Coturnix japonica: one gene and its partners. The protein of the gene in region 3 binds, or shares a complex with, the protein of the main gene of each other region. Links are inferred from orthologs where the notes say so. Each region holds a gene or a part of one and is shown on either strand. Other genes may lie near its edges.

Region 1 (5,996 bases), about 120 Mb from region 3:
TACTTTGCTGGAGTTTTTCTGCACGTAATATCATCTGCCTATAGGATGCAACCAGGATGGTATACAGCAGCAGCAGCAGGACTTTAAGGCAGCTGATATCTTAATGTAACTATAGATATGTAGTACATAACAACAAGGAAACAGCACAAAAGCCCTGGTTTCCTACCTTGTCTCTTATCCAGTTGTACAACAAATGGAGAGAATACAAATTTATTTACTTTCATTAAACAATGAGCATTAATCTCTCCTGGAAGCAAATTACCTGTGTGAGAATCTGGTGGCTGTAAATCATCCACTCTGAGGTTCTGTTGGTGGCAGTGTCAACACCTGCCTGTGGAGGCTTGATGTTACCAGCATGATGGATGCCAGCTTCCATCATCCAAATGGGTACTGCCTCCAGCTTCAGGATGAATGACCTTAATCTGGACCAGCAGGACTTTATAAGAACGGAATCCCCTACCAGTGATTAAAATGATATCTTCAGAGTAGCCCTCACTGTCATATTCAATAAAAACAAATAGTTTATCAAACACAGAAGTTGCCATGGATTTTTATGCATTGGGTTTTGTGCTGCTGAGTGAAGGGATTGATCCCAGCCTGGGGCACTGTCCTTGTTCTCTCATTCAAAGCAGACCTAAGGGAGATCCAACCCAGCTGGTGCTGGCAGTGGGACAGAATGGGGCTCCTCTTAAAGCTTGGAGCCAGGACTGCTCATTCTAATGCCTCAGTGGCACCTGCATTTACTGAATCCAAATAGGTTGGGAGTAGGCGCAGAGCCTCCTGAAATGTCTCTGCTAAAGGAACAACCTCCCGACAAGATTGCCACAGAGAAATGTAATGGGTTTCTGCGACTGTTCAAAAGCTGTGAATATCTCCATTCATTCCCTTGGAAAAAAGGTTAATAAACTCAGAGAATTGGGGAATATTTCTGTGTAATAGTCCAGCCACAGGAAGAGGGGGCAGGGCACAAAAGCAGTGATTTTTTTGCTGTAGAAATATGCTGGGCACGCTCCTGAATTTTGATCTAGGGAGGGTGAAGCTCATATTGTGTTCTGCTTACTGAATAGAAAAGGAAAAGTGGATGGAAGGAAATGAAGGGATTATTCTCACACACAGAGTCGAGTGCCTCTGAATTACCCAACCAAAAACTCTGTCGGTGTAATTCAGACCTCTCTCCACACCAGTGGAGCAGGCACTGACTGCAGACATGAATGCCCCATGGGCTTGCACCTTTGGGCAGAGCTGAAAATGAGGGCAAAAGAATCCATCATGAACTTTTCCTGCTACCACAAACACAGAATTTCTCCGGTTAGCTTCAGTGGCTGCAATACACCCTGTTATTACACAGGACACAGGCCAGAGTGGAATGGAGAGGGACATAGAAATGGAAGGGATGCTGCAGATGCTGGGCTCATGAGTTGGAGAGCACAAGTAAAGAAACACCAACTGGAAAACCCACCAGAGATTTCAGCTAGCATGGGAAGCCCTAGGCAAGGAAACAGCACTTTCTGCAGCTCAGTCCTGTGGGAGAGATAGGCCTGCGGAGAGAGAAAAGTTGGATGTGTGGAAACCAGTAAGGCTGGAGCTCCTATCCCACAGTTTGATCTGGAGAGACACCCCAAGAGACCAAGAACAAGGGCTCTATCCACTGTAAATCATGTTTGGTGCTCAGGTGCTGCAGAATTAAAGCAGAGTTCAATCTCCCTCGAGGGGCCAGAAGCATGGAGAGATTTGCAGTCTGGGGTTTTCTCATCAGCAGCACAAAAGCTTAAGGTTTCTGTGCTAAAAGATGCTCCCTCCAGCCTCCCACTCTTGCCACAGCTATATCAATAAGGTGTATAAAGGTAGGTGTGGGGGACAGACGGAGCTTATCCTTCATGCTACCATCAAGTAAAGAAACTCTCCCTGCCTTCACAGAGTGCTGATGTAAAATGTACTGGAGATGCAGGATAGGGTCACCCAGCTCAGACATATGAGGATTATCTGCAGACCATATGGCTAGAATTAGCTTTCAGGCTGTGAATTTGAATAGAAGACCAGCTGGTGGCTGGGAATAGGACTCTTTTCACAGCTTCCATGGAGGTATCAGAAGGTCCAACTCATAACTACATATCACGTGATGAAAGCAGTGACTTCAGTCCTTTTCCCAGAGGAACAATCATGGCAGAAACACAGCAACACAGACAAGTTAGCTGAGGTGAGGACTTGGGGACAAGTTGTACTGAATAGAAAAGAAGAATAATTCTCTGTCCTTGAACAATACTTACATATGTACAATCATAGAGCATTGCCAAGTGGTAGAAAAGCATCCCTCCTTTACTGTTTCTGCCATGTACTCTAGCTAAGAAGAGAACTTATCCAGTTAAGCATGTGACTTTTCTAATGTTATAGATATGTCCCTGAAGCATGGTCTGGGATGAGGCACGCACTTGTCTTCACAATTAATTTGCGTAGTAATTTTAGGTGATAAATCCCATGTCAAGCATTACAGTTGTGGGGCAGCCTTTCGAACACTGACTTCTTTTTACACAAACCATCCAGCAATCATAAGTAACCCAAGGACGTATTGCAGCCTCTTCCAAGCAGTTTTCTGGAAAAGGTAGCAGTCATTTGACTACAGTATGTGATACAGAGGATGCTCAAAATCAGCCCTCTATCCTCTCATTTTTCATTGCACTTATCCTACTACCTACTTCTATTGATTTGACATGCAAAAACTAGGAGACCTAAAAAGGAAGTACCTGGTACATGTGAGAGCACGGCAGGTGTGATCTACCTTGAGGGCAATCAGCAGCCACAGCCAAAAACTAGGACATGCATGTTTGCCAGGAGGGATAGCAGAACGGATCTGCATCCAAAGTAAAGCCAGATAATGGGATAAGCACACAATATGTTGCTGCTGTCTGCAGTGTTTCTTCTAAGGGCAGTTGTCAAAAAGCACCATCTCAAATTTCCAGACCGATTTCTCAGATAACGTCCCAAAAATTGCTGAGGTGGGAAGGGAGTCCACTTCTATTAGTACACAGATCTTCTGTGAGAGGATCTTATCTCAGAAGTGACCTCCGTGCTGGCAGCCCGGAACGCAGGGCCATGGCTGCCGTTTCCAGCCGAGCCGGGCGGCGGCGGCCGCGGGCCGTTCCTCGTTTCCCTCCGGGTTCCCGACGGCATGGCGGGGGCGGGGAAGGTGTTCGCTACGCTGAGGAGTCACTGGAAGAAAACCACGTTCGGTGTGTGCTTGCTGAGCTGGGGGGGGAACTGGCTGTACGGGAAGCACTGGTAAGTGCCGCTTGGGGCGGAGGGCTGAGGGGCGGGCGGCTCTGCGTCCTGTTCGTTGTGGGGCCGGGTGTGTAGCAGAACTGCTCTGTGTGCGCAGAATAGGATCATAGGATTGCTCAGATTGGAAAAGATCTTTAAGATCATTGACCTAAACTTCCCTTGATGCAACCTGAGGCTATTTCCCCTTGTCGTGTCATATGTCACCAGTGAGAAGAGACCAGCCCCACTCAAATACCTTTTCAGTATTTGAAGAGAGCATTAAGGTCTCCCCTCAGCCTCCCCTTCCCCAGACTAAACAGCCCCAGTTCCTTCAGTCACTCCTTATAGGGCATATTCTCAAAGCCCTTCACGAGCCTCGTTTCCCTTCTCTGGAGCTGCTCCAGCACCTCCATGTCCTTTCTGTGCTGAAGTGCCCAAAACTGAACACAGTACTCGAGGTGAGGCCTCACCAATGTCGAATACAGGAGCAGGATGACTTCCCTAGTCCTGCTCACCACACCATTCCTGATACAAGCCAGGGTGCCACTGGCCTTGGCCACCTGGGCACACTGCTGGCTCATATTCAGCTGGCTGTCCATCAATACAGAAGGTCTTCTCACCTGGCTGCGCATCAACAGGGGTAGGCTAGGGGCTCTCTTTGCAGTTTCTGTTTTGCTTCCAAATGTGATAGTGGATTTTGCATTTCTTTTCATATGTCAGTCAGCCCCGATTCTTTTGTTTCTGTACCAGTTACACTTGGACAGATCAAGGAGAGAGCCATACATGGGCTGTGTTGGCTCTGTGTCTTGCTGTTAGTAGCATCACAGGCTAAATTACTATGCACCAGACATACTACTAGACTTATATTTGCCCTCTTAGAACAGATTAAAGGTTTAGTGAAGTCTTGTGCTTCATTTTCAGGCATTGCAGGAATTTCTGATGAAGGGGCTTGCTTTAGCACAGCATTAGTTCAGATTAGCCTCTGACTTCCTGGAATTAGCTGTCTGAGGTGTTGCTCATTTATTTGGAGCTGAACCCTCCTGCATCCTTCTTCTTGGCTTTTCCATCCTCATGAAATTTCTGAGATGTTTCTCTTGCAAGGAGAAGTTCATTTGCTATTCTGACTTCTCAAGGTTCATTCTTCTTTTGGATGCAGAGGCTACGATGCCTGCATTAAGTGGAGCTGCTACTATCTGCCCTGCAAATAAATGGCAACTCTTCTATAGTCAGTCTCAGGCTGCTCATAAGGACACAAGAACTCTGAAGCACTTGCTTAAGACTTTGGGGAATGCTGCATAGACAGATTGGGGATATGGAGAATGTTACCTTCTCCAGACTCATCCTCTGTGCATCTTCCCTGCACCTAAATAGAATATCCCAATTTGAGAAAGAGCCATGAGGAGCATTAAGTCCAACAGTGGTTAAAGACGCCGCCTTGCAACACTGGGGCCCGAAGTTCGAATCCCCCCTGTGGCGCAAGTGGTAGAAGTGCCGCTCTGCTACACAGAGGCTCGAATCCCGGGGGCTGGACTCGATGATCTCTAAGGTCCCTTCCAACCCGCACGAAACTATGAAACTATGAAACTATGAAACTGCTGGCTCCACACAGGATCAGCCAAAACTCAGACCCTTTGTTGTCCCCTTCCAGCATAATGTGGGCTGTGCTGGGGGTCTGATGTTGATGCCATTGTGTTTCATCGGCTGTAAAGGAGAGTGGGACACTGCAGTGAAAGGATTCTTCTCTGAATTAGTCTAAAGGTTGTTGATGGCTTGTAAAGGCCAAGGAATTTCTTAGCCTGGTCTTGCGTGGTGCTTTTTTCTTGTAGCATTTAGTTTCTGGATCAGTGTGTTAGCCTCTCATCTTTGGAGGTGTTTGTTCTAATACTGACTGGTTTAACAGGAAGGGGCTTTTCAATGAACTAGAAGAGCAAAGAGTGCAGATTCCCCCTTGACCATTTGTGATTCAGATGATCTGTATGTGTAGTATAATGGGCAATGCCTCTTCAAAATTGACATTAATCAGGAAATAGGAAAAACTTCTCATGTGTGGAGTGATAGGCATAGTGGCTGGTTGAACTACTGTTAACTAAAACCCTGTTGCTGTTTTTGGAATGCCTTGGTGAACCTTAACATTCCTTTGTTTCTCACAAAAGAGCATCTAAAATTGGTTGCCTTGTATTTGGGATAGCAATTACCCTTACAATATTGGAGAAATAAATTGAATACTCAGTACTGTCATATATGAGTTTATCACTCTTTAATATCACTCGATTACATGAATTATCATCATTTTAATCAATAGTATATCATAGAATCACAAGGTTGGAAATGACCTACAAGATCATCTAGTCCAACCGTCCTCCCTTTACCATACCTACAGAAAAACCACTAAACCATATCTCCTAGCTCCCTATCCAGACGCCTCTTGAACACTGCCAGGGATGGCAACTCCACCACCACCCTGGGCAGGCTGAGATAGTGGTATATCATACTACAGGTGTGAGGGGCACTGAATTTTATATGCTAGATCAAACCATGGAGGGTGTGCAGATTGTCAGAGACATGTTTGTACTCAGTGCCTCACTTCTATTTAACATATCCAGACAAGACTGATTACAGAGAAGTAATCAACTTGCCTTTTAAAAACCTCTTTTCTCAATAGGATGGAAAAAGGGTACACAGCTTAATTCTGGCTGTGTTTCTGAGCAGTAGCTACTGATGTCTGTTGACTTCATGAGCTC
Region 2 (4,040 bases), on a different chromosome or scaffold from region 3:
ACTGCTTGCACGACAGGCTCACGGTGGGGCGTAATGCGACCCACAAGCTGTGAGGACAGTGAGTGTGCGCGCAGCCTGACCCACTTCCAGCCAGCCCCGGGGACACACCGGCACAGGCGCACTGTGTGTGTACGGGTGGATGGACACACAGTGCCCACCCCCAGGCTGGGGTGTCTCTGGCTGGGTGTTCCCATCTAGTAACCCTGTGCAGGTCTTCCCTACACATGTGTGCACATCTGTATGTGTGGCTCTGGGGTTGTTTCCATCCAGGTGTCCCCCCCTAAGTGTCCCCACGTGGGTGTCCCTGTGTGGTCCTTTTCCAGGTGTGGAAAGGGCACTGTCCCTCTCCAGCCATCCATACCAAATGTCTCTGTGCCTGTCCCCATGCAGGTGTGCTGTTTTCTCACTGCCCCCCTGCAGGTGTCCCTTTGTGGCCATTTCTCCAGGTGCTCCCCAGTGTCCCCCCAGCAAGCAGAGTGAGGGGCACAGCCCTGTCCTGACCCCATAAGGGATAAGGAAGGTTTCAGCCTATCCCCGAGGCTGACGTGGGCACAGCAGACACGCCGGGGTGCCCCCATCTCCAGTAGGTTAGTGGGACACCCCCTGACACAGCACCACAGACGGGTTTGGGGGGCCGAGGGAAGCACACAGCTGGCCCAGAGCCTCCAGTTTATTGGTACGATGGGAAGGGGAGTCCGAAGGGAGGGCTCAGGCGGTGCCCGTGCCCTGCTGCATGCGCTTCAGGAGCTCCTCGTCCTGCAGCGACAGCTCCGTCAGCTTCTTGCCCATCCGCTCGTGCACATCCAGGTACTTGGCCACGCAGCGGTCCAGGCACACGCTCTCGCCTTTCGACAGCTCCGCCTCCTTGTAGTGTGGGGGCACGCACTTGAGGTGACACGCCTGCGTCATCCTGAGGGACAACACCGTCACCCCACGGCTCTGCCCGGCACCCCCCACCCCCGGCACCCGCACAGCCCCCGCACAGCCCCCACCCGCGACACCCACGCGCCTCTCGCTCTCCCAGCCCCTCCCTGTCCCGGGCACTACCCCCAGGCCCCGGCCCGTCCCGTCAGGCCGCGCACCGGTTGTACATGTCGGCCATCATGTCCACCTCCAGCTCTGCCGCCAGCTGCTGTGCCCGCAGCGGGTCCATGTCGCTCCCGCACCGCGCTCCCGCAGGATGCACGTGGGACGCGCTTCCGCCCACACGCTCAGGCGCTCCGCCCCGCCGCCGCTCTCGGTCAATAGGAGACGGGTGGGGGCGGGACAACGGCTCGTTCTCAGCGCTGATGGGACGTGGGGAGCGGTGCGGAGCGGGGTGGGCGGGGGCAGGCGATGGAGGGCAGGGATGGATCGGGGCCGGCCCGGCCCACGCGTGACCTCCGCGTGTCCCCGTGGGTCTGCCCTCACGGCTCTGCCCCCTCGTGTCTGTGTCTGCTACGGGTCTATGGCCCCGTGTCCCTCTATGTCAATGTGTCCCCTATGTCCCCCCACAGATCAGGGCACTCTGTGTTCCCTTTGTCACCCTTCTCTCCCATATATGTGTCCCCCGTGTCCCCTCGTGTCCCACGCATCACCCATCTCCTCCATGTGCCGTGTCTCCGTGCCCACTCGTGACCCTCATATCCCCCCGATATCGCCTCCACGTCCCCCCATGTCCTCACGTGCACGCGTCCCCCCGTGTCCGTGTCCCTGTGTCCCCGTTCCATCCCGCAGTCCCCGCTATCCCCAGGCCCCGCCCGGCCTCCTCTCCCCCCCGTCCCGTCCCGTCCCCTCCCCGCTGTGCCCCTCTCCGGCCCCCGACCCGCCCCGTCGGCGCTGACTGAAGGCGGCACCTGCGGCGGTCACACGGCCGCGGGGAGAGCGGAGAGCGGTGAGCCGGGATATGGGGCGCCGGGGGGCTGGGGGGGACGTCGGGGGTTTGGGGTGAGAAACGAGGATAGGACGGGATGGAGGGGGGTCGGGGTTGGGGGTAGGGAGTGAGTTGTGGAGTTGGGACTGAGCTGGAGGAGCTGGGAGGGGGCAGGAGGAAAACATGAATGGGGAATGGGTTGGGTTGGGGTGTGCAGGGGGGAGGGAGGGGTTTGGGGACAGGAGTGGGGGGTGGGGGTTGGGTCGAGGTGGATGGGAAGGGATAAATAATGGGGATGGGATGGGGACTGGGAGCTGTGTTGGGGCCGATGGGGTGGGCGGGCAGGAGGAACGCTGAGGGACAGAAGTGCAATGGGATTGCATGGGGTGGAAGGCACGGTGGATACTTCAGTGACAACCCTGCAGCCCACAGTAGGAGCATGGAGTCCACAACAACCGATGGAGCCCCAACCCCAAATGACACTGCCCTGGGTGACCTCACACAGACATCAACAGGGCCCACAGAGGGGATGGTGGGGGGGGACAGCGGGGAAAGTGCAGCACAGGAAGGGCAGGGGGAGGCTGGGGGGGATGAAGGGGGCGCTGGGGGGGAGAGTGCAGGGGATACGAGGATTGGGGGCGAGGTAGAAGCAGAGAAGAACTGTGGGAGTGAGGCTAAGGGGGAGGCAGTAGGGGATGCTGTGAGTGAGGTCAGCATGGCAGGAGATGCTGGGAGTGAGGCTAAGGGGGAGGATGCAAGGGATGCTGTGGGTGAAGCTAAAGGGGAGGCTGCAAAGGATGCTGAGAGTGAGGCTAAGGGGGACACTGTAAAGGATGCTGTGAGTGAGGCTAAGGGGGAGGCTGCAAAAGATGCTGTGAGTGAGGCTAAGGGGGACACTGTAGAGGATGCTGTGAGTGAGGCTAAGGGGGAAGCTGCAAAGGATGCTGTGAGTGAGGCTAAGGGGGAAGCTGCAAAGGATGCTGTGAGTGAGGCTAAGGCAGCAGGGGATGCTGTCAAAGAGCCCACAGCAGGGCAGGCTGCAGAGCACGAGGCTGAAGGGCAAACCAGAGGCAGTGCAGTGCCACAGGAGGATGCTGAGCTGGGGCCCAGGCCAGTGGCAGCAGGCAGCAGCCAAGGCCGGCAGGTGAGAGGAGGCACGGCTGGGGTGGCATTGCCAGGGGCTGGGTACTGGGTGGCACTGGTGGGGTGGGGGTGGTGGCACAAGGGACAGGTTGTGGCTGTGGGGTGCAGGGTGGTGGTAGCAGGTTGGATGGCAGCAGTGAGGTGGTGGTACGGCTGTGCAGCCATCATGCCTGTGCCCATAGGAGCCCACCTGGCTGCAGGATGAGGATGATGAGCTGTGGCCTGAGTTCCCCCCCTGCTCACCCACGGAGGAGGCCACCAGCCCCACCAGCCCTACCACCCCTCTCTCCCCTACCTCCCCCGTGTCTCCCACGTTCCCCATGTCTCCCACATCTCCCTCATCTCCTGTGTCCCCCACATCCCCCACAGGTAAGAGCTACATTGGGCAGGGCCCTGAAATGAGCACAGGGATCCCCTTCCAGGGCAGGGGAGGCGGGAGGGGGCCTGGGATGAGGAATGGGGGGTGAGGTGGGTCCTCTCCCAAGCTCTCTTACAGATCCCCATACACTCTGTAGAGTCCCTCTGTTCCCAGTCCCAGCTGCCCTATTTGGGACCCCCTGCAGTTCCCCCAGGCACTATGGCTGCCCCAGGGGGGTAGCTCTATGCTGGGTGCCCCTTCTTGTCCTACTGACTCCTCTGCTCTCCCCTGCGGCTGGTAGCACTGAGAGCTCAGGTGGCAGTGAGAGGTGAGAAAAGAAGAACAGCCAGCACCAGGGCTGCCTCATAGCCCTGCCCCACTGCTGGCATCCCCATACCCTGTTCTCATAGGTGATATCCACAGTGGTGACCCTATCCCTGCTCACAGCCATCACCCTTGTGTTCTACAGTGGTGTGTCTGCAATGGGGCCACGCAGCCGGGTGCCCCCTAGGGTGGCAGCTGTGGGGCGGCCACGAATGAGCAGCCGGGCACATGGGCGCAGCGCCATCCTGGAGAAGTTTGGGGGGTGAGTGGGGCCTGGGGAGGTCAGGGTGCGATGAGGACAGCTGGGGGCATGGGGCAGTGGGGGGACATTGCCCACTGGTGAGTCCCTGGGGGGATACGCAC
Region 3 (5,852 bases):
TCCAGAAAGAGCAGGGATTTGATTCCTACATATGTCTGTACTCTGCCCAGCTCTGACTCAGCCCCAGGTTGTGCTGGGGGTGATCACATCAACCACGAGGAAGAATTTCTCTATGGAGGAGGTGGTTGGGCATGGGGACAGCCTGCAATGGCGGGGCCTCCATCTCTGGGCATGCTGTGCAAACAGTCACAGCCACTTGGAATTCAATCTGAATAATGCATTACCAGGGCACAGTGTGCCCTGATCATCAGAGAAACCTCACGGTCCTGTAGTGGTGACCTAGAGTTCTGTGCAACCACTGGAGGAAGTCATGGAACCATAGAATGGCCTGTGTTGCAAAGGCCCACAGTGCTCATCCATCCCAACCCCCTGCTGTGTGCAGGGTCACCAACCAGCAGCCCAGGCTGCCCAGAGCCACATCCAGCCTGGCCTTGAATGCCTGCAGGGATGGGGCATCCACAGCCTCCTTGGGCAACCTGTTCCAGTGCGTCACCACCCTCTGCAGGTGGTGGAGAACCTCACTATGGGGACAGCGTTGTTCCAAAATCCAATCTATAAGCTAATGGAAGAAGAATGCAGCAGAGTCCATTGAGTACAAAGGCACCGTGCCTGGCTGAAGTGCAACTGCAGAGCATTTAGAGGGAGGGCAGCATTCAGAGCAGCAGTGAGTGAGCACAGCAGATTCCACGTACCTTCCATCTGGCAACGCTTTTTCCAGCCCCAGTGTATGTCAGCCAGGCTGGTGTGGGCTGGATGAGGGGAACACAGCTGGGACACGGGCCGTGGGCTGGCAGTCAGCACAGATGAGTCACAGGCAGCAGAGTCCCTTGGGAGAGCACACCAAGATGCAGCCAACACCAGGCAACAGCCCGGCAGATGGGGCTGTAACATGCCGTGCTGTGCCATGCTGTGCTGTGCCATATCAGGCTTCATTGTGCCATGGTGCATTGTGCCAGGGCTGGAGGGCACAGTGGAGGCTGGACTAACACACACAGGCTGTGCCTTTACATCACACCACACTGAACATGGAAAATTGCTGTTAAACCCAAAGGAAAACTTCTCCACCACAGGGGTAGACCCAAAGGAGGGTTATCACCACACTGAGTGTCACACACTGTAGCTGGGGCTGAGCAAAAGGGAATCTCCCTTGCAGTAACGCCACCTCCAGCAGCACCCACGGCCCAAACTCAGTGCAGATTTGCATCACTGCCTGTGCACCCAGGGCTCCTTGGGAGGACCAATGCACTGCTGTCCTGTGTAGCTGTTTGCACAGCCCAGCTCCTTCACTTCCATGCCTGCCTTTGGTTCCTAACCTTGGTTCTGCCGGATCTCCACCCATGAGCACCACCCACCTGCAGTGCTGTGGCTGACACACACAGCACCCACACTGCAGGCACTGCTCACACAGCTCCCAGCCCTCCCACACAGCCACTATCTGCCGCGGCCTTGGCTCCCTGTGCACAGCTGGGCCTGAGACACAACCTGCCTCCTGTGAGAGGAGAAACAGCCCCAAGCGGGGCCGTGCCTGGAATGCTGTGACAGGGGGGCAGTGGTGCAGCGGGAGCCCATCAGCCGGGTGCTCTCCCGGCAGCTTATGGACTTGCTGGAGAACGTACCCAGTTTATGCTTTGTCCACAAGGTGGAAAATAATCTTAGGGGCCTCCAATGTTCACCAGATCTTTGGTTTTCCCATAGCTTAAGTAACGAAGGTCGACTTGTCTCAATTACTGGCACTTAAAGACCTTACATCTGTGTGCATTTGTCTACTCTTCTAAGTGCCAATGAAACCCATCAGAGGGAAGCCAGGGAACAGGGTATCACAGAATCATAGCATAGAATCACAGCATGGCCTGGGTTGCACACAGTGCTCATCCATCCCAACCCCCTGCTGTGTGCAGGGTCACAACCAGCAGCCAGGGCTGCCCAGAGCCGCATCCAGCCTGGCCTTGAATGCCTGCAGGGCTGGGAGCTGCAGCCTGTGCTGATGCTGCTCCAGCAGCAAGAACACAAAGAAACAGTTCCTAGAAGGAGCAAAGTGGGAACCTTTGCTGGGAGGAAGGTGCCGCTGGCAGCAGGACGCAGCACACAGCGCTGCTTGTGGAGCAGTGTCCGTGTACCCCTGTGACACACTGACAGCACGACACATAAAACGTTTTATTAACCCCATGAAATGGTCAAATACAAACACAAGATGTTCAGTTCTGGACAGCAGGAGCCCAGTCAGTGCTGGATTCCAGCCGGGAGCTGCAGTGCACACAGCAGCTCATACACGTTCCCTTCCTCCTCCTGCCCCCGGTGCCGTTGTGCTGCCGGTTTTGGCCGCCATGTCGGGCAGTCCCGGCTGCTGCTGTGGGTGCAGAGAACGCGGCTCGGCCTGGCCCGGCTGTGACACCGGGCAGTTCAGCGGCTCCACACGGGAGCTGCCATCAGGTGACCGTCCCGCAGCCACCTCCCGGCCACGGCAACGCACCGACCCCGCGGCTCCGTTACGTGCCCGCGGGAGCCGCGTCGGGATCAGCGGGAGCCGCTTCGTGTCCGTCCGGTGCGGCCGGTTCCGCGCTGTGCTCGGTGCGGGCGGCGCGGCGCTGCACGATGCCGGGCATCAAGGACACGTAGGCGCCCATCAGCCGGTGGTTGGAGCGGACCAGCTTCCCGGCGCAGCCGTCCAGGCACCGCTCCTACGGGCGGCACCGGCTCCGTTCGGCTCCGTTCACCCCGTCCCGTCCCGTCCCGTCCCGTCCCGCCCGGTCCCCGCTCACCTCGCGCCGTGACAGCAGCCGGTGCCCGAGGTCGGAGACGCAGCGGCGGAAGCAGAGCTCGGTCATGCGGTTGTACACCAGCAGGAAGTCCCGCAGCTGCAAAACAGCGGCACGTACGGTCACCGGGACGGCCCGGCACCGCCGAACCGGGACGAACCGAACCGAACCGAACCGGGCCGCCCACCATCTTCCCCCCGTCCCCCCACACTCACACTGCGGAGCTGCTGCTGCTGTTCGGCCGCCGCCGCCTCCATGTCGGCCCGCCCCGCGCTGCCGGAAGTACCGGCACTTCCGCCCCGCCGCACTTCCGCTCGGGGATCTACAGCACGTCACTTCCGGCTCGGTCTCCCGGCGCCCCCCGCGCGGGTCGTGACGTAACTTCCGGCGCGTCCGGGCCGAGGCGGATCGAGGCCGCGGAGCCTCCGGGGCGGGGGGGCCCAGCGGGGCCGGGCGGGGCAGGTGGGACATAACGGGACATAACGGGACATAACGGGACGGGCTGGGCTGGGCTGGGCTGGGCTGAAGGTCGGGGTGAAGGTCGGGCCCCGGGTGGGAGCCGGGCTGGGAGCCCCGGTGCCGCCGCAGGGCCCGGCCGTGCAGTGACAGCCCGGCCTTTGGGCCGCCCCGGTCCCGTCCCGGTTCCTGGTGCCGTTGCAGCCGCTGCTCGTGTCGCTCCTGCTCGTCCCGCCCGGGCTCTCGGTGCTCGTTGGCTCCGAGCGGCGGCTGCGAGTCCCGGGCCGGGCCGCAGCGCTGCCCCCAATGCCGGTACCGAGGGGCGGGTCCAGCTCGTGATAACGGCGCTCGGTGCGGGCGGGGCGATGCTCGGAATGTGACCGGACCGGTCCGGCCGGGCCCTGCCGCGCTCTGCCGACGTGGCCCCGAGCCCCGCGCCAGGAGCCGTGGGGAGCTCGGACCGAGGGGACACGAGGAGCCCCGTGAACGAACCGTGTGTCCCCGCAGGCCCTGACCATGTCGGATGGGATCATGAGCAAAGCCGCCACCATGGAGATCCCCATCAGCAGCAACGGGGACGCCGGCAGCCTGCCCGAAGATGACGGCCTGGAGCAGGTGTGGGGCTGCGCCGGGGCCTCACGTCGGCCCCATGGGTTGGGGGTCTGTCCTTGTGCTTCAATTTAATGCTCTGCTCCCCCAGGACCTGCAGCAAGTGATGGTGTCGGGGCCCAACCTCAACGAAACCAGCATCGTGTCTGGTGGCTACGGGGGAACCGCTGAAGGCATCATCCCCACCGGCACCATCAAAGGTACAAACGGCTTCCACAGGGACGGGGCTGTGGGTGGGGGTCAGCTGGGTGTTCTGCTGGAGGCTTTAGGGCTCAGTGCTGGGGTCACAGCCCACCCTGCTGCAGCCCTGAACGGGGCCAGTCTGTGTCCCTGCTCCCAGCAGCTCTGCTCGTAGCTGAGGCCGTCCTGAGTCACAGCCACGTGGCCCTGCAGAGCTCAGCCTCCTCACAGCCCCAGAGCACAGCACTGCTGCCACCCCGCCAATGCTGTGGGGCCCATCCTGGGGGTGTGATTTCCACCCAGCTGCACTTCTTACCCTGCACGTGCCCTTGGCTCACAGGCAGCTGTGGAGATGCCTGGCTCTCTCGTAGATGCAGGGCTTCTGCTGAGGGAGCTGCTCTGCCCTCCTGGGGCACTGGTGTGATGTGTGGGCTCAGCTCTTGGGTATCCAAGAGCCCCAAAGGTGCACAGTACTGGCACAGCTGTGGTGGCTGCACCTGAGAGACACCTTTCAGACAGAGGGGGACAGGGCAGAAGGGTTCTGAGCCCCAGACTCTGCGTTAATGTCCCGTTTTTGCTGTTGCTGCCCACCTGGGAGCCCCAGGCACTTCTGAGCCTGTCTGTAAATGCTCTGTGCTGGAGGGATGGTGTCCACGGGCTTCTGGGGAGCTGCTGCTGCTGCACACCCAGAGCCACAGTCAGTGCAGCTGGAGCAGCTCTGCCCCATCCATCCCTCTCACCCTGTTCCCATTTCATACAAGTCTCTGTCCCAGCTCTTGGCCAGTCTGGCCCATCTGCTGCAAACAACTGTTTTCACTGTGGGTCCTTCCATGTTGTGCCAGGCTGAACGGGTGAATTAACTTAGGCAGAGGGGAGATGAGCTTTTGCTGACAGCCTGCTGTGGCTGGGGGGATATTGTGCAGTGGTTCCCTGTGTCTGTCAGTCCTGGCCTGTCCCAGTTCTCAACCTGGTACGTGTTGATACCAGCCTGGGGATGGGGAGGAAGCAAGAGAGGAGCCTGGGTGCCTCTGACGTGATGCTGTCTGTGCGGCTGCCATCTGTATCTACTGATTTCACATCACTCTTTCATCTGCTCCCCTGCTGCCACCCTTCCTGCACACTCATCCCTGTGTCCTGGTTGCTCCTGCCCTCGTGTCCTTCACACCCCCCCCACCTCTTCCCTCTGCTCACCTCCTGCCAGCCCCTCCATTTCCAGGCTGTCTTGTCCAACCTCACTCACCCCGAGGACCATCCATCTCCCCCAGTGCATCTGCCGCCAGCAGGATGGCCAGCCAGGCTGGTGCTTCAGCAGGTACTGCAGCCACCCCAGCGCCCCATGGTGCGACACAGCCTTTGAGTCCTCCTGTCTCAGGCTTAGGGCCCGGGCTTAAGGCTCCCGTTGTGTGCAGTGTTTCTCAGGGTCAGTTTCTTGCCCTGCTGTGGTGGGGAGCAACCCAAAGCAACCCAGACCCAACCCATGCCTCCCCCAGCAGCAGAGTCTACTCACGGTTCTTGTGCTGGGGGCACACGTGGCACTTCCAAACCACAGTGCACCAGGCAATGAGGCCGAGCTGTGCCTGGCTGTGGGATGCACTGTGTGTCTGCCTGGCCTCTCCTCCACCTCTACCATGCCCCGGAGCACAAGGAGTATTGCCTAGCACAGGAGCACCAGGGCCATTGGTGTGCAGGGCTGTCCCTGCCAGCAGCTCTGCAAGTGAAAGGGGGAACAGCATCTCCCATGTGGGCAGCAGCCAATGCAGTGAGCACCAGGGCCTTGGTTATCAATGTCTAGTAGGGTTTTGGGGGCCAGATTCTGTGCTGCAAGAGGCCAAGTCCTGCTGCTTGCAGGCA
Region 4 (6,062 bases), on a different chromosome or scaffold from region 3:
CTGAGCAGCAGCACTGCTCTCTTCCTGCCTGGGGCTCTTCTCCAGATGTTAACAGTCAAAGCTTCCCAAGAAGTCCCCTCTAGGTCCTGCTGGACTAAAATCTCAGTGCTCCTGCTCTTGTACAGCTACATAGAATTGCCTCTTTGAGACAGGAGAAAGGAGGGAGGCATTGTACAAGCTGATCAAGTTAACAGAGTTCCTGCCAGTGAAACAATATATCTAAGTAGAGCTCTATTAACACAAGAGCTGTAACTTCAGCGAGTTGCTCAGAACATATTTTTGGCTCCCTCTCCATGACACCCCAGTAGCATGTGGAGAGCTACCAGCACCATTTCCTCATTTGCTTTCAAGTCACTTCTGTTCATTTCTCTCCGCTCTCCCTGTCCTGTACAACCAGCCTTCCCTACCCACACATATCTTTCAAGATGACAGGAAAGAGACAGAGATGACAGTTCTGCCAACTTCAAGCACATTCTCATGCTGACATCAACATAACCCCATACAGAGAGATTTGCAGCGTGCGTTGCCTTAAAAATGCTGCTTGTTACCATCCCAAATTGCTGCCTTATCACAGCAGTTGCTACCAGGCATCACCAACCTCTGAAGCCAATCGCTCCTCCTGTGATGCAGCCACTAATAACGCTGTTCCTCCAGTCTGACTTTCCACGATACTGTGGAGTTAAAAAACAAGAGACAACAAGTAAACATGGAATAACAATTCGACATCTGTACTAACACCAAGGGAGGTGAAGCCTTCCAGCCCTGTTTCAGATGAGGATGCTTTTCCTTCTGCTCTCAGCAGATGGCCCCCCTGCACTGTAAAAGTTTTTATGTGGCCAGGAGGAGGGGAAGGAGCAGGTCAGCAGGAGAGGTAAGACACATCCGCATGGTGCAATGCAGTGCTACAGCACACTCTCAGATGAGCCCATACAGCCCCCACAAGGCAGCACAGTGCACCGGCACCAGCTCACAGACAATTTAAAGGCACTGTGAGCACAGCATGGCCATGCAGCCATGAGAGCAAACAGCAGCCTGCGGGCAAACATTAGCTATTAGCTAGTTTTTCACCAGTGCAACGTGTTTGTTCTGCTTCGTTGTGCACACAGATACACTTTTCTTTTACACGGATTAAGAACTAATTGTGTTTTTCGATTGAAGGACAGTACTGACATTCATAACAGGCTCATCTTCCTATTTAAGAAAACGGGTGATAGCTTTACCACTGAGCAGCACGAGGTCGTTTCCTGCTGTAGGGGCAAGATGAAAACAGCCCTATTACTTCAGATCTTTCATCAAAGGATCCCTTTCTTCACATGTACTTTTTAGAGGCTCAGATGGCCACGTTGCAACTCCCAGTTTGATGTTTTAACACAACTATGAGTTGTTTGGAGCTAAAGTTTCAAAAATCAATGCCAAAATCCAGGACTTGAACTGGAAAGCTCTTCACTGTTGCATGCAGCTCTGCTTATTCCAACACAGAACAGTTCTGAAAACCTTTAGAACTGAAAAGCTTAAATGATCAAGAAGCAAAAGGCAACGAGCCAATCCCTCACCACAGTGGTTTGGACTCATGAAAGGCGCTCAATGGTGTATAATAAAAGCTCCCATAGTAACGTTTGAGGGTCGTTACTCACCGATTCCACCACGCACTCGGTGCAGGAGAACATGGCGCCCACAATGGCGAAGTTCTTGGCGTAGGAAATGCCGCGCTGCCCCATGTCCTTCAGCACCTCCTTGGCTGTCGGGGTGCGATACGGGTCCTTGGGGTCGAAGCCCACATTGGTGTCGATGCCAGCAGTGAAGATCCCAAAGGCTCCTCCAAGAACAAACCCTGGGGAAGACAACAGCTATGAAATGAAGCTCTGGATTGGAGCAGTGATCCAACACTCACAGGGTTAGAGCTGCTCTGGTCTTAAGGGCAGCATGAAGGGCTGATGTGCTGCAGACACTGATCTGATCACAGAATCACAGAATTGTAGGGGTTGGAAGGGACCTCTAGAGATCATCAAGTCCAACCCCCCTGCCAAAGCAGGCTCCCTACACCACATCACACAGGTAGGCATCCAGGTGGGTCTTAAATATCTCCAGAGAAGGAGACTCCACCACCTCCCTGTGCAGCCTGTTCCAGTGCTCCGTCACCCTCGCTGTAAAGAAGTTCTTATTAAGGAACTTCCTATGCTGTACTTTCATCCCATTAGCCCTAGTCCTGTCCCCACGCACTACTGAAAAGAGACCAGCCTCACCACTATGGCCCCCACACCTCAGGTATTTATAAACCTGGATCCAATCCCCTCTCAACCTTCTTTTCTCAAGGCTAAACAGACCCAGTTCCCTGAGTCTCTCCTCATAGGGGAGATGCTCCAGGCCCTTCACCATCTTAGTGCCCCCTTTAGTGCAGGCACACAGCACAGAGAGTTCTATCTTAAACTGGAGGGGAAGGTGGGAGCCCCTTCCCCGTGTCCATGGGCTGGAATTGCCCTTAAGATCTGACAGACCCTCATCCCCCCCCTCAGCCCCAACCCAACACCGTGTGTCCCCCACCCCCCCTCACCCCCCACGCAGGCCAAGGCCGCTTTGAAGGCGCAGCTCTCCATGGCTCTCTCCACCATCTTCTGCTCGTCGCTCTTGTTCGGGCAGGGGATGCCCCCGAAGCTGTTGGGGTCCCACACTCGGGGTCGGCGTTGCTCGCCCACCAGGTGCTGCAGCACAGCGCTGTATTGCAGCGGAGGCTGCGAACCGCCCGGCGGTGCGGCCGCCATTATTGTCCTCCGCGTAACGAGGAACCGGCAGCGCGGCTTCCGTAGCGCGCGGGGGTTGATGGGTGTTGTAGTTTCACTAACAGAGACTCCCGCTGTGAGGCGCGCTGCCGAGACTCCATTTCCCAGCGTTCCCCGCGGCAGCGCCATGACACTGAACTACAGCTCTCGGCGTGCTTTGCGGAGAGACACGCGATTGGCCGCGCTGAGGGCTGGGAGCCCCGTTACCCGGCGTACAGCGCCCCCTGGTGGCCATTGGGGGCGGTGCAGTGAGGTGAGCGCTCCGGCTGCACGAGCATCCAACGGGGCGGCAGCGATAAGAGGCAGCGATAGGAGACTGCGATAAGAGGCAGCGATAGGAGGTGAGAGCGGCTACGGGGGGGATGGAGCGGGGATGGGACGGCCACGGGGATGGGGAGGGATGAGGAGCCGCAGTGCGGGGCCGATCTGCCTCCGGTGTGTCGTTAAGCTCGGAGGGGTCGTTAAGCTTTGAGGGGTCGCTCCGTTCCCGGAGTGACTTCTATCTTTAGGGATAACAGCTCAACCTCAACACGGGGCTGAGAGCTGCGGGTCCTGCCGTGGTCGTTCTGCACAGCCCCGGGCTGAGCCCTGCGGGTGGGTGTCCCCCTCGTAGCACTCAGGGCTCAGCTGAGCTGTGCGTGGTGCTGGGATCATCCTGCGGCCCATCCGAGCAGCACTGCGCTGCCCCGGGCACACGGAGAGGCAGCTTGACATCAAAGGTGCTTAGAGAGCAAAAAAAGTCTGTCTTTTTGTCATAAAATGCAAACCGAGCTCGCAGCGAGTCATATAGAAACCTCAGCCCTTCCGCGCTTACCCTGTTTGGTAGCAGGGTGGGAAACTCTTCTTCTGTGCCCCCCCTCAGCTGAACGAGGAGGAGCTGCCAAGGTTTAAAGCCTTCACCCACACGCTCTGTGCCTTGTGTTGCTGTTCTGTGCAGCAGGAGCAGCGCTCTGCTCAGCCCAGCACGATGCAGGTGGGTCTGCTTGGAAGGAATAGCCTGGTTGGCTTCAATGTTGGCTTGGTTTAACTTTAGAAGTTGCCCACAGGTTTTGAAGCCCTGAGGTGGTTTCAGCAGATGAGATGAGGTGGCTTCAGATCGTTGTGCTGAGAACTGAAAACGATATCAAAGATCTGTTGGTTGTTCTTAAGTGATGTGTTAAGTGTGACATCTTCCTGATGCCATTCATTGCTCTGAATGGGGACTGCTTAGAAACCCAAAGGATCCACAATCATTTATTTTCTATTTCTTTTCATTTTTAACATTTCTTGCCCTGTATCTTGTCTGTGCTGGATACGCAGGTTCAAATAACAACCTGGTTTGATGGTTCTTCAAATGAAGTGATGGTGTTATTTTCAATAACTTTCCTCTTTTCCTATTAAATTCCACTGCCCTCTGCTGGCTGGACCATCAGACCTGCCCAGAGCTCTTCCCCCACTATTCTTTTACTCTTTAAGGCTTTTTATATCTTAAGGTCAGAAGCTGTTGCAAAGCTTGCTGTTAATGTCTACTACAATGGGATCCTTATACAAAAGAGGAGGTTGGTGGCAGGTTGAGCTCCCTAAGGAGCCCTGAACTGTAGATCTCAATCTTCTCTTTGATCCACACTAACCTAGTTGGGCTGATCTTGAAGTCACACTGCAAAGCCTATTTTCCCAAGGCATAAGGAGAAGAAAGAAATGTTGGAGCTGGCATTTGATGCTGTGAGTTTATATGTGAGACTGCAATACTGCTTTTATTTTATTTTCCTGTGTTTCCAAACCCAGAATCATGAGTTTATATTTGCTTGTGAATATAACAATATTTCACAAGTATTTTCACCTGTGTTTATATGAAATAATTATATTGATTTCTATACATATATCCATAAATAAATATATTTTTCTTCTTTAGGTATTTATACTTTTCCACTTCAGGCTGTTCTGTGTTCCACCTATGAACAAATATATGTGCTTGAAAGGTCCTGATGTGATTATCCAAATGGTCACATAAGGGAAGTCAGTTGGAACATATTAAGGTTCGGAGAGGGAACCTGAGAGTCTGAGACATCTCCAATAAGTTCTTCACAGGAAATTTTAAGTTGTTTCTTCCTGGTCCCAGGTGAAACCTCTTCATGTTGTGCATCTCCTCCCTGCTGTGATGGCAGGATCAGGTGCAGCTGATGGTGGCTTTGCTCAGGCCTGTGATGGACCCACTGTGCTCAGCACTTCAGCAGAGGGCAGCATGCGGGAATATGAAATGATTGTATTTCACTTGGCCTGTGCGGTGACTCAGTTGTTATCCCACATTGCAATGTTCTCCAGACAAGGTTCTGAAGGGCAGATTATTCAAACCTTGGAAGTAATGGCTTTGCTTGAAATCCTGGTTTTGCGTGTTCCTCCAACATTTTGAATAGGCTTCAGCTGTTGTTTTTGGCACTGCTGTTTGAAAACAAAACCCAAAGGTTTTCATAGCTCAACTTTGTTTTGTAACACGTTGTCAGTTCCTGAGTCCTTGCTGAAGCAGGAAGGGCCTGAAGATGGAAGCTGGAAGTAGTGAGATTAATCCATTCTTTTTCCCTCTTATACCCACCTGTCTGCCCCCTTTTCCCTTCCCAGAACTGCAGCAGCCCAGGGAACTGAGAGGAAGAGGTTTCCCTCCTCTGAGAATGGAAACCTTTCCATTGTACCATGAGCAGAAGAAAGCACAGCAGGTTTGTATGCTGGGAGCTGGTTACTCTGCAGCTCTTGCCTCTCCTGGAGCCCATAGATTCCCCAGGGCTACAGAGGACTGTGCTGGTGCTGGACTCCATTCCAGCATTACCACCAAACGTTTGCACTCTGTAGTACTCACATCCATGAACTGAGACTGCAGCTTTCCTACCTCTCATCCAGGTTCTGAATGTAATGATTTCTTACCAATGAGATTTTAAGTTCTTGGCTTTGAAAGGACATTACAGCAGTAAACTGCCTAAATCCAGTGGATTTAGTTGCTTTAACATCTATGCTTCCCTTGGCTTATGGATTTAACCAGTTTTATGTTTGAGAGTGCAGTTATAAATATACATATATATGTGTATATATTAAGGTTTAAAAAGAAAGGCTTTCTATGCTGGAAAATACTGTCTCTATGATGGCAAGCAGCTGAAGGATTAATAACGGGTCACATTGTGAAGAGATGATGGCAGGTATATGGGAGGTAAAACTGCAAAGGCAGCCTGACTCACTGGTTTTCTTTGGGTCAATGTCAGATAGACTGCAGTGATACAGACACAGATTTAAACATGATTTCCTTTTAGGACCAGCAGG

What was found. The genes of interacting proteins can lie anywhere in the genome.
Region 1: TIMM10B (region 3) and AGK share a complex: the UniProt entries of both Homo sapiens proteins name them as parts of the TIM22 complex. The link is inferred for Coturnix japonica from reciprocal best matches to the Homo sapiens genes TIMM10B and AGK.
Region 2: the proteins of TIMM10B (region 3) and TIMM10 are in contact, whole or in part, in a cryo-EM structure (PDB 7CGP), measured with the Homo sapiens proteins. The link is inferred for Coturnix japonica from reciprocal best matches to the Homo sapiens genes TIMM10B and TIMM10. Residues at the interface, in NP_036324.1 of Homo sapiens: Gln7, Leu11, Leu14, Arg15, Phe17, Leu18, Leu19, Tyr21, Asn22, Arg23, Met24, Thr25, Glu26, Cys28, Phe29, Val33, Pro34, Ser35, Leu36, His37, His38, Arg39, Leu41, Glu46, Leu49, His50, Ala53, Gly54, Ile57, His61; in NP_036588.1 of Homo sapiens: Ala6, Leu9, Leu13, Glu16, Met17, Asp20, Met21, Arg24, Ala28, Lys32, Cys50, Asp52, Arg53, Cys54, Ser56, Lys57, Tyr58, Asp60, Ile61, His62, Glu63, Arg64, Met65, Gly66, Lys68, Leu69, Leu72, Asp76.
Region 4: TIMM10B (region 3) and TIMM22 share a complex: the UniProt entries of both Homo sapiens proteins name them as parts of the TIM22 complex. The link is inferred for Coturnix japonica from reciprocal best matches to the Homo sapiens genes TIMM10B and TIMM22.

The regions. Positions count from the first base shown.
Region 1 is NC_029516.1:55,079,575-55,085,570, reverse strand, and holds the start of AGK (acylglycerol kinase, mitochondrial), read left to right. Parts: upstream 1-3,075; 5' UTR 3,076-3,090; coding exon 3,091-3,276; intron 3,277-5,996. UniProt on the Homo sapiens protein: Lipid kinase that can phosphorylate both monoacylglycerol and diacylglycerol to form lysophosphatidic acid (LPA) and phosphatidic acid (PA), respectively. Does not phosphorylate sphingosine. Phosphorylates ceramide.
Region 2 is NC_029520.1:7,775,144-7,779,183, forward strand, and holds TIMM10 (mitochondrial import inner membrane translocase subunit Tim10), read right to left. Parts: upstream 1,222-4,040; 5' UTR 1,154-1,221; coding exon 1,083-1,153; intron 911-1,082; coding exon 709-910; 3' UTR 622-708; downstream 1-621. Other genes in the region: SMTNL1 (smoothelin-like protein 1), read left to right, coding at 2,181-2,996, 3,178-3,364, 3,648-3,681, 3,823-3,939.
Region 3 is NC_029516.1:174,016,242-174,022,093, forward strand, and holds TIMM10B (mitochondrial import inner membrane translocase subunit Tim10 B), read right to left. Parts: upstream 3,094-5,852; 5' UTR 3,014-3,093; coding exon 2,972-3,013; intron 2,856-2,971; coding exon 2,760-2,855; intron 2,679-2,759; coding exon 2,487-2,678; 3' UTR 2,471-2,486; exon of another isoform or gene 2,348-2,470; 3' UTR 2,136-2,347; downstream 1-2,135. Other genes in the region: ARFIP2 (arfaptin-2), read left to right, coding at 3,729-3,827, 3,913-4,021, 5,203-5,313. UniProt on the Homo sapiens protein: Component of the TIM22 complex, a complex that mediates the import and insertion of multi-pass transmembrane proteins into the mitochondrial inner membrane.
Region 4 is NC_029534.1:5,110,276-5,116,337, forward strand, and holds the start of TIMM22 (mitochondrial import inner membrane translocase subunit Tim22), read right to left. Parts: upstream 2,922-6,062; 5' UTR 2,907-2,921; coding exon 2,552-2,906; intron 1,832-2,551; coding exon 1,635-1,831; intron 672-1,634; coding exon 599-671; intron 1-598. UniProt on the Homo sapiens protein: Essential core component of the TIM22 complex, a complex that mediates the import and insertion of multi-pass transmembrane proteins into the mitochondrial inner membrane. In the TIM22 complex, it constitutes the voltage-activated and signal-gated channel.